Linked DNA regions of Drosophila melanogaster. The protein of the gene in region 2 purifies or fractionates together with the protein of the main gene of each other region. This does not show direct contact. Each region holds a gene or a part of one and is shown on either strand. Other genes may lie near its edges. The genes, in order: Prosbeta7 and Prosbeta4R2.

Region 1 (3,922 bases), on a different chromosome or scaffold from region 2:
TTTCTTTATGATCTGCGGCGCGAACATAACCTGCGCCTGCGCCAGGAGTCCCAATGGCATCTCCCGTTACAGTCATCTGGGTGATGGTTGCCTGGACCTGATTCTCGTGAAAAAGACCTCACTGCTCAACAACGTGCGTTTTCTGCTCAACACGGCGGGCAGAAGTGGTGATATTGTGAGTACTAACTATTACAACTATTCAACTTTCACATCCAAAAGAACACCTTTCCTATAAGAGGCGTCCATTTCCTTTGAAATAACATTTCCATAACATTTTAACTGCATCTTTAATTGCCAAATCCCCTAAGCCTACAAGCTGAGCTTAGTGCTTTCTATCCTAAAAGCCAAAAACCCAAAACCGAACCCCATCTAGCTCGGATTGAAGCGAGGGAAATCTGTGACAGAAAGGTTATTTTACGAAGATCTACTAGCCGCTCTGGTGGCATCCATATAAAGTATATACTTGACCAGTTTCAACAATATAATGTTTTATCTAGTGAATGCGATGGTATCTTTTACTGTAAAAATATAAATGAAAAATAAAAGGATACAATTAAATTTTGTAGAAAACAATAAATATTTAAAAACATTTTCCCATTGCAGCGCAATTTGCCTTTTGTAGAGGTATATCGCACAAGGGAATTCCGGTTCAGAACTTTTTCTGCCAGCGAGGAGGACTACAGCTTGGCAGGGTCTTGTCAGCCGATTACACCGCCTGAAGAAATGACCGCCCACTCCTCCTCGACGGAGTTTTCCAGCTGGAACTGTGATGGAGAGGTGGTGACCGACCTGGACATAACCATGCGGTGAGTTGGTTGTACCTTTAACTTCAATAAATCGCTTATTAACCGTTCCGTATCTGGCAGATCGCATTGTCAGCTCATCGAGGTCTTCATGCGGGGTCCCCATTCCTACAGCAAGCCCCTCAAGGGCGGCACCACGCCCACAACCCCAGCTAGCTCTAGCGACAATGTTTACTGCTGCTGCAAGGACTAGAAGCTTTAACCCCATAGAATTAGCATCAATCGTTGGCCGTGACATGTAGCTCTTAGTTTTGCGTAGGGTATCCTTATTCGTATATGTATCGTGTTAAAGAGCGGGTCTCCCCGTCATTGTTTTTAGCATAGCTCAATAAAGCAACTGATATTATCGACTGTATTATGGCATCTGAAAGATGCGGCAGCAACCTAAACATTCCCCTCGGAAGCATTATGCACATACCTATATATTTACAAATTGTGTACTGGTATACTGGCAATAAAAATGTATTTATATGTCTTCAAATTTATAATTCTTTATTATTAATTTATATGATCAAATGTTATGATAAAAAACTTCGTTGGGTTCCCAAAAACAACAATCCGGAACATGTGCGTTTTTCCCACCAATATGAATAAAAGCAGAAGTTTTAGCAAAAGAACCTTATTCCGCTTAAAAAGCTATGGAGAATCGTGTTCGAAGGGAGAGAAGGGAGATATTGGATTTGTAGATTGACCAGGATAATTTCCAAACGTCATTTACATTTATTGCTCTCGATTCTTATACTTTAATGACCATTGAACGGCTTAAAATGAAGTAAAGCAAATGGTCATTATATATTAACTAAACATATATTTAGTTTCAAGGAGTAGTAAATACCGTAGAAGCAACGGGTATACATGAGTCTTAATCCTAATTGAGTGAAAAGTTCTTTAATTTCTTATCTTTCTTCTCCTTGATTTGTATTATCAACGAGGATTATAAAGACAAAAGTAAAAAAACAAATTCAGTATAGGCAGCGTGGTGTTAACTGTTTTACATTACTTTTAACATCAACATCTAATAAAATGTTAAAAAGTTCACAATTAAACTTCAAATTAATTTAATTTAACACATGTAAAACGGTGTGACCAAGCTAATAGTGGATTCATCTTTGGTATGTCTGGTATTTTTAGCTACCGGTTGCCGATACTGGTATTGCCGCCCGCCTAAAGTCTGTTCACACTGCGCTGACTCTTGATTTTATTTGTGCCCGTCATTCTCCGGCAGCGACAAACATTTCAAAGTCTCGCGTTATTCCAGTCTCCGAATAAATTAGCATGTTGAACAACTACAACAGCCTAGCGCAGCCCATGTGGCAGAACGGACCCGCTCCCGGCGAGTTCTACAACTTCACGGGCGGACAGACGCCGGTCCAGCAGCTACCGCGGGAGCTGACCACAATGGGACCCTATGGAACCAAGCACAGCACGTAGGAACTGCGGATATGTTTATATGCAGATGTACCACTTGTTTACACTCCTTTTACTATTCCGCAGTGCTTCCAGCACCACGGGCACTTCCGTGCTTGGCATTCGCTATGATTCAGGAGTGATGCTGGCCGCCGACACCCTGGTGTCTTACGGATCCATGGCCCGCTACCAAAACATTGAGCGCGTCTTTAAGGTCAACAAGAACATCCTGCTCGGCGGGAGCGGCGACTTCGCTGACATCCAGTCCATCAAGCGCAACATCGACCAGAAGATGATCGAGGACCAGTGCTGCGACGACAACATCGAGATGAAGCCCAAGTCCTTGGCCAGTTGGATGACCCGTGTGCTCTACAACCGTCGTTCGCGGATGAACCCCCTCTACATTGACGTGGTTGTCGGCGGCGTGGACAACGAGGGGACTCCGTACCTGGCCAACGTGGATCTCCGTGGACGATCCTACGAGGACTACGTGGTGGCCACTGGTTTTGCCCGCCATTTGGCCGTTCCGCTGGTCCGTGAGAAGAAGCCCAAGGACAGGGACTTTACCGCCGTAGAAGCTTCCGAACTGGTAAGGAATTTCGAACTCTGATGGGGGGACTCTTCATTATTTAACTACCCTACCATTTTCTTATATTCTAGATCCGCACATGCATGGAGGTGCTTTACTACCGCGATACTCGTAATATTTCCCAATACACTGTGGGCGTGTGCAGCGTCAACGGATGCGGCGTGGAGGGGCCCTTCCAAGTTAACGAAAACTGGACATTCGCCGAAACCATAAAGGGATACTAGAGCCTCCGATTCTGAATGAACTTAGTTTAGGTCTAGCTCGGCGGTTTTGCATTAAAAAAAAACACTTGTCTAAGGATATGTGGTTACATGATTTATTAAAAATAAATGTGGCTGAAAATAATACGTTTAAAGTTATGGTTATTGTGTGATAGAAACTATCTTCGAGTTATTCTTTCGTTAATCTCTACTGATGGAATCAAAAAGTAGGCGTCAAACTAAGAAGCCCAAGGGAGTTTCCAAATCTAACTTGGACTCACCATTACGGTCTTACGTTCCTTATTTTCCCAAATTATAACCATCAATTATCATTAAAAGTTTTATTTTAGTGGATTTGTTGGTTATTCCTCCCGGCATTCAACTTATTAATTAATATGCAAACACTCCTGACAAACATATTTTGGTTTATTTTAATTAACATAAAATCTGGCTAAATATACAGATAATCAATTTGATCCAAAGGGGAATTTCGCAAAGGATAACTGCTTGGAATACGTGTCTTAAGTCGCCCATGCGCCTCCTAATCTCCGCCAGCTGCAAACCGAACCCCTTGTTAGTTTAGCATGGTATGCCTGTCGTAGATGTGGCGTCTCTGCTCGCGCACCTGCCGCTTCCACTTGTCCTGCTGGTGGCCCACACGATTGAGGACATTGGCTCTGGCACTGAGCTCCTGGTTGTTGACGGCTGGCAGGGGCGGCGTTGGTTCATCCTGGTTAGAAAAGGGTGGAAAAATGTGGAATTAGTCGAGGTGATCCAAGATCTGGCCGTGTTAGTTACTGTCTTAATGAAGTGACGGTGTGGGTTAGAAAGTCAACAAAATCTATAACGCAAAATGAAACAAAGGTGGTTGTGGAAATTAAAATCTATTCAAAAGAGTGGTGCTTCTTTATTGCCAACTAGTT
Region 2 (4,403 bases):
CAAGCCACTGCCCCCGAGGCCATGAAAAATGACAGGGAAGAAGAAAACTGCAAGGATCATCATCATGAATCATCATCAGAGTCGTCACACGCAAACAGCAAACAGAAAGCAGCGAGACAGTCGGATGGAGCCACGACTGCGAAGATGCGAGAAAGTTAATGTCCTGTCAGGAAGTCGCTGCCTCGTTGCGCCCTTAAACGTCACAAATTGCCGGTCGGAACGGTGGTGGATTGGTGGGGGGGGGTCGACAATGGGGGAGTGACTCGGGGTTACATGCACATTATCAACCAGCCCCCAAAGTTGCTCCCCTACAGCATTGTGAATATATTTCACAGCTTCAGGTGGAAAAAAGGGAGACAGGTGTCCTGAGACAGGCGCGTTCATTTGAGACGCTCACATGTCAAAAGTTTTCTGCGGAAAAGTTCTCTGTGCGACAGGGAAACTTAAAGTAAAATGAGAAGCAAGCCATGAAAATAATTGATATTCGACTTTTTTACATTAGTTTTCGCATAAAATTATATTGCATGACGAGATAGATAAATGTTTTTTTTTTGTCCCATGCATAAATGCTAATTAATTTGTAATGGCATTCGTTTTACGTGCTAAGCTTGATAAGTGCTGTTCCAAAAAAATGTAATTAAAACAAACATTTAAAGTATATGGATGGTATTTACTTTTCGAAATTGATTCTCCATTAAAGCAGCGAGTAATTTAAATTGTAGTTTAGATACATTTCGGAGCCAGTTAGTTACTGCACCGAAACCGGTACCTTTGAGGTAAACGCGTTCGCTACCTTTTCTTTGTCACTGTTGACATTTCATGGTTCCGATCACCGCAAGTGGGCGATCCACTCAATTGGCGATACTTTGTCATGTGCGGCCAATTAGCAATGGCAACTGCCACGCTGGCGGACAAACAAAACCCGCTGACTAGCATAGAAATCCGGAAAAATGCAGGCATCACAGCTCGGAAAACCCTCACACTCAGACCTCTGCCAAGCAGCGAACAATTCAGTGCATTTTTGCAGCAATCTGTGCTCATTTTTATGAGTTTCGCTGGCGACTACGCTCACTCCTCCAAACCAACGACATTCTGACGGACTGCTGTTCAAATGGGAAATAGAGACATGTTGGCTTTTCTGCTTCCGATTCGCAGCCGTATGCGTTTCCTGTCTGTGAGGCATGCACTTGGAAAAATCAAGATGCATACGTTTTAAAAAAAATATTTCATACCAACATCTGACGATCTTTTGCCGGCAGACGGGACCATTTGAGTGGAATGTGCCTATATGACTATGCCTATGCAACAGAGCAGACTTATTAATGTATAAATTCTTTTTGAGTGCAGCTTCACTCATTGTTGCACAAACAAATACAGTGCCACACACATTCAGACAGATGGCTCACATGGAGAACAAGAGCAGGCCACATATGCTAATACACGGAGGCAGTCGACCATGGCATGTAGCATACCCACTCACCCACCTCCTCCTCTTCCGACTGACCACTCAAATCCAACCGGTCACGTCAACTAATCCCTGGGAAGTTGTTCGAGCATCGCAGTGAAAGTTAGCCAAAAACCAACTGCACAATTATTAGGCATTAAAGGATGCTTTATGAAGCAAAGGAGTTGCACCGAGCATGGCTTTAATGTTTTCCGCTTTACCAACTCAGGCTTATCGACTCCTTGTTTAGGGATCCTGGATTGATGGCCTCCATCTTGCGCATTCCCTTGCTGTCCACTACATACACCTCAAAGTTCCGCTGGTTGATGATCAGTCGCCTTTGGATCTCCAGGACGCACTTCTTCATCAGCGAGTAGGCATCCTCTTGGCTGAGCTTCGAGTTCCAATATCTCTGCAGAATGCTGCCACAGAACATGCTGCCCCAACCATGACCTGCATGATTGATTGACTGAGCAGCGCCATAGGAGTCGATGTAGTGGAGGTCAGGTCCCTCAACCGCATCGTATCCTGCCAGGAGCATTGCCACCTGGTATCTGGTGTTGGTCCTTATATAATCCGCCAGTGTTTTCCTGGTAAAATGGGCAGCTGACTTCGCACTTAGATGGTATCCGTGGGAAATCTTGTACAGATGCAAATTTTTGGATATGAAGTCGGTGAACTGAATGGTATCGCCACCATCACCCACCGTGGCCATCATATTGAAGTCTGATAGTCGGTGGATTTTTGATTGGTCTAAAAATTTATTGGCATTATATAAGTTCCCAATATCAGATAAACAAAAAGGGCGTGATTACCATCTTTCATGAAGACCAGCGATTTGGCCTGCATTGTATCTGATGCTAGCATCACAAAGTCTGGTCCCTTGATCCCCAAAATAGTTTCCATCGCCATGGTAACCAAAAATTTTATTAAAGTGATACACTATTGTGAATATTATGTGTTTACTTTTGAAATATTCGTGTTCGTGTTCAGTGGTAGTACTACTTGATGTAGAATGTGAGTGAAATGACTGGGCTACTAAGAACCCAGGCCATCTCGATCGGCCATCAGGGTGAAGAAGGAGTAGGCTCCCTTCCAACAGGCCACGTAGGTGCTCAGGTGGATGGGCACCAGGTTGCCGGCGAGGAGAAGCTGCATCCGCTTAGTGCGCTCCGCCAGGATGAGCATGTGCCCACGATAGCTGGCACTTTGATCCACCCAGTTGCTGCAGAATACCGCATAGTGAAGCTCAGCAAAACTCTCCTGCACCATGGTTCCATAGTAGCACAATGGATATGTCTGCACGGTGATGCCCAAGAGAAAGCAAAGATAATAGATGCGATCGTACAAGGTCTCCACGTAAAATATCAGGACAAATAGGGTGATGGCGATGTTGATGCCAATAACCATAAACTGCACCATCATGGGATACGAAACGAGACTCTTGGTCACATCGAGTAATCTAAAGGAAGATTGAGTATTAGAACTGGAAACATAGAGATAGTAGGATTACCTATACAGCGCGTTTTGATCCCTGATGCAGTTGACCAGATCCTGTTCGTTCTCCTCCAGAGTCTTGTAACCATATCCGATTTCAGAGATTCTCAGGATCAGCAATTGACATTGCTCGGAGATCAGGTACAGTACGAGCGGGGGAAACGAGTCAGCTGCAAAGCATTGCATAATTTGAAAGACATAGCCAATCTCCTGGAAAACCAGAGCTCCGATGTAGGCCACCATCGAGTTCTTCCAGTCGAAGGGAAACCACATGGGCATGGGTAAGCTTAGCTCAGTTTCGAAAACGAAGGGAACTGCAGCAATGATGAAGACTACAGCGTAGGTGATCTGGAACAGCTTGGACATCCTTAGCAGGTGCTCGGTCATATTTCTATGACGCTCAGACTGGCTCTCGCCAGAAACCCGGGCATCCAGCTGACCAATAAGACTCTGGACCTCGACCATCTTTGTTAGTTGGGCCACGTACATGCAGAACTTCATGAGATTGGACAGCGAAGTGACCGTCAGGCTCAAGCTGAAATTATTTTCCACCGGATCTTCGAAACTGTATACTCCTCTCAGTAGCATGGGTGTCGGCAGGTACACCAAGATGCACAATAGCATCGACCAACTCCAGTACCTACCCTCGCTGAGATCCAAGGCACCACAAATTCGCCAGGCATTCAACTGGACTCGAAAATAGTCGATTTTTAGGGTTTCGCTGAGCTTCATTTTGAATTCTTGGTGTCTTTCTTTTTCACTGGCATACTTTCAAAAGGACCTCGACCATTTATATCACCTTTCTGTGTCAGTTGCGCCATTAGTCAGGGGTTATTAAATCGCAAATTAAATCATTATCGAGGGGTCGCATATAATTTTCCCAAAACTTGGGAAAATGCACACCCTTTGAGTGCCATTCAGCAAAGGAGTATCTATATATCACTTAATACAGAGCTTTATATTAAATTATTTTCATTCAAATTTTATGAATCTTTGATAAGCTACAAAAAATATAAAGGGCTTCGATTATTATTTTGTGTTTAATATCCTTCGCTTGGGACCAGCTAAGATATCCCCTCTAAGGGACTCCAGGTTGATGCTATTCATCTTTGTTATGCCATTTTTGCTTATCAGGAACAAATCTATGTTGCGCAAGTTGATAACGAATCGTTTATACAGCTCAATCACACACTTTTTGATAACATCATAGGCTGCCTGCGTATCCATGTCCGGTTTGTAGAACTCCTCGAGAATGGGAGTGCAGAAGTTCATGGCGGCTCCGTGGCCACCGTACCGAACGGGAACCGAGTTACCCAAATAATCGATGTAGTGCAACTCGGGACCGCTGGTCAAATCGTATCCGCCCACCAACAGCGACACCTGGAACGTGCAATCGCTCTTCAAATAGGCGGACAAATGCCTCCGGATGAAGTGCACCGCTCCGCGAACGGTTAAGTCGTAT

The links.
Region 1: the proteins of Prosbeta4R2 (region 2) and Prosbeta7 purify together in Drosophila melanogaster (affinity purification with mass spectrometry, with the first as the bait; one large-scale study listed by BioGRID). This does not show direct contact.

What each region holds. Positions count from the first base shown.
Region 1 is NT_033777.3:5,356,232-5,360,153, reverse strand, and holds Prosbeta7 (proteasome beta7 subunit), read left to right. Parts: upstream 1-1,789; 5' UTR 1,790-2,078; coding exon 2,079-2,230; intron 2,231-2,297; coding exon 2,298-2,799; intron 2,800-2,870; coding exon 2,871-3,023; 3' UTR 3,024-3,142; downstream 3,143-3,922. Other genes in the region: Cerk (ceramide kinase), read left to right, coding at 1-175, 604-806, 867-996; CG1161 (uncharacterized protein), read right to left, coding at 3,574-3,729. UniProt on the Drosophila melanogaster protein: Non-catalytic component of the proteasome, a multicatalytic proteinase complex which is characterized by its ability to cleave peptides with Arg, Phe, Tyr, Leu, and Glu adjacent to the leaving group at neutral or slightly basic pH.
Region 2 is NT_033779.5:2,653,413-2,657,815, reverse strand, and holds Prosbeta4R2 (proteasome beta4 subunit-related 2), read right to left. Parts: upstream 2,423-4,403; 5' UTR 2,357-2,422; coding exon 2,260-2,356; intron 2,198-2,259; coding exon 1,662-2,197; 3' UTR 714-1,661; downstream 1-713. Other genes in the region: Or23a (odorant receptor 23a), read right to left, coding at 2,483-2,906, 2,958-3,673; Prosbeta4R1 (proteasome beta4 subunit-related 1), read right to left, coding at 3,971-4,403.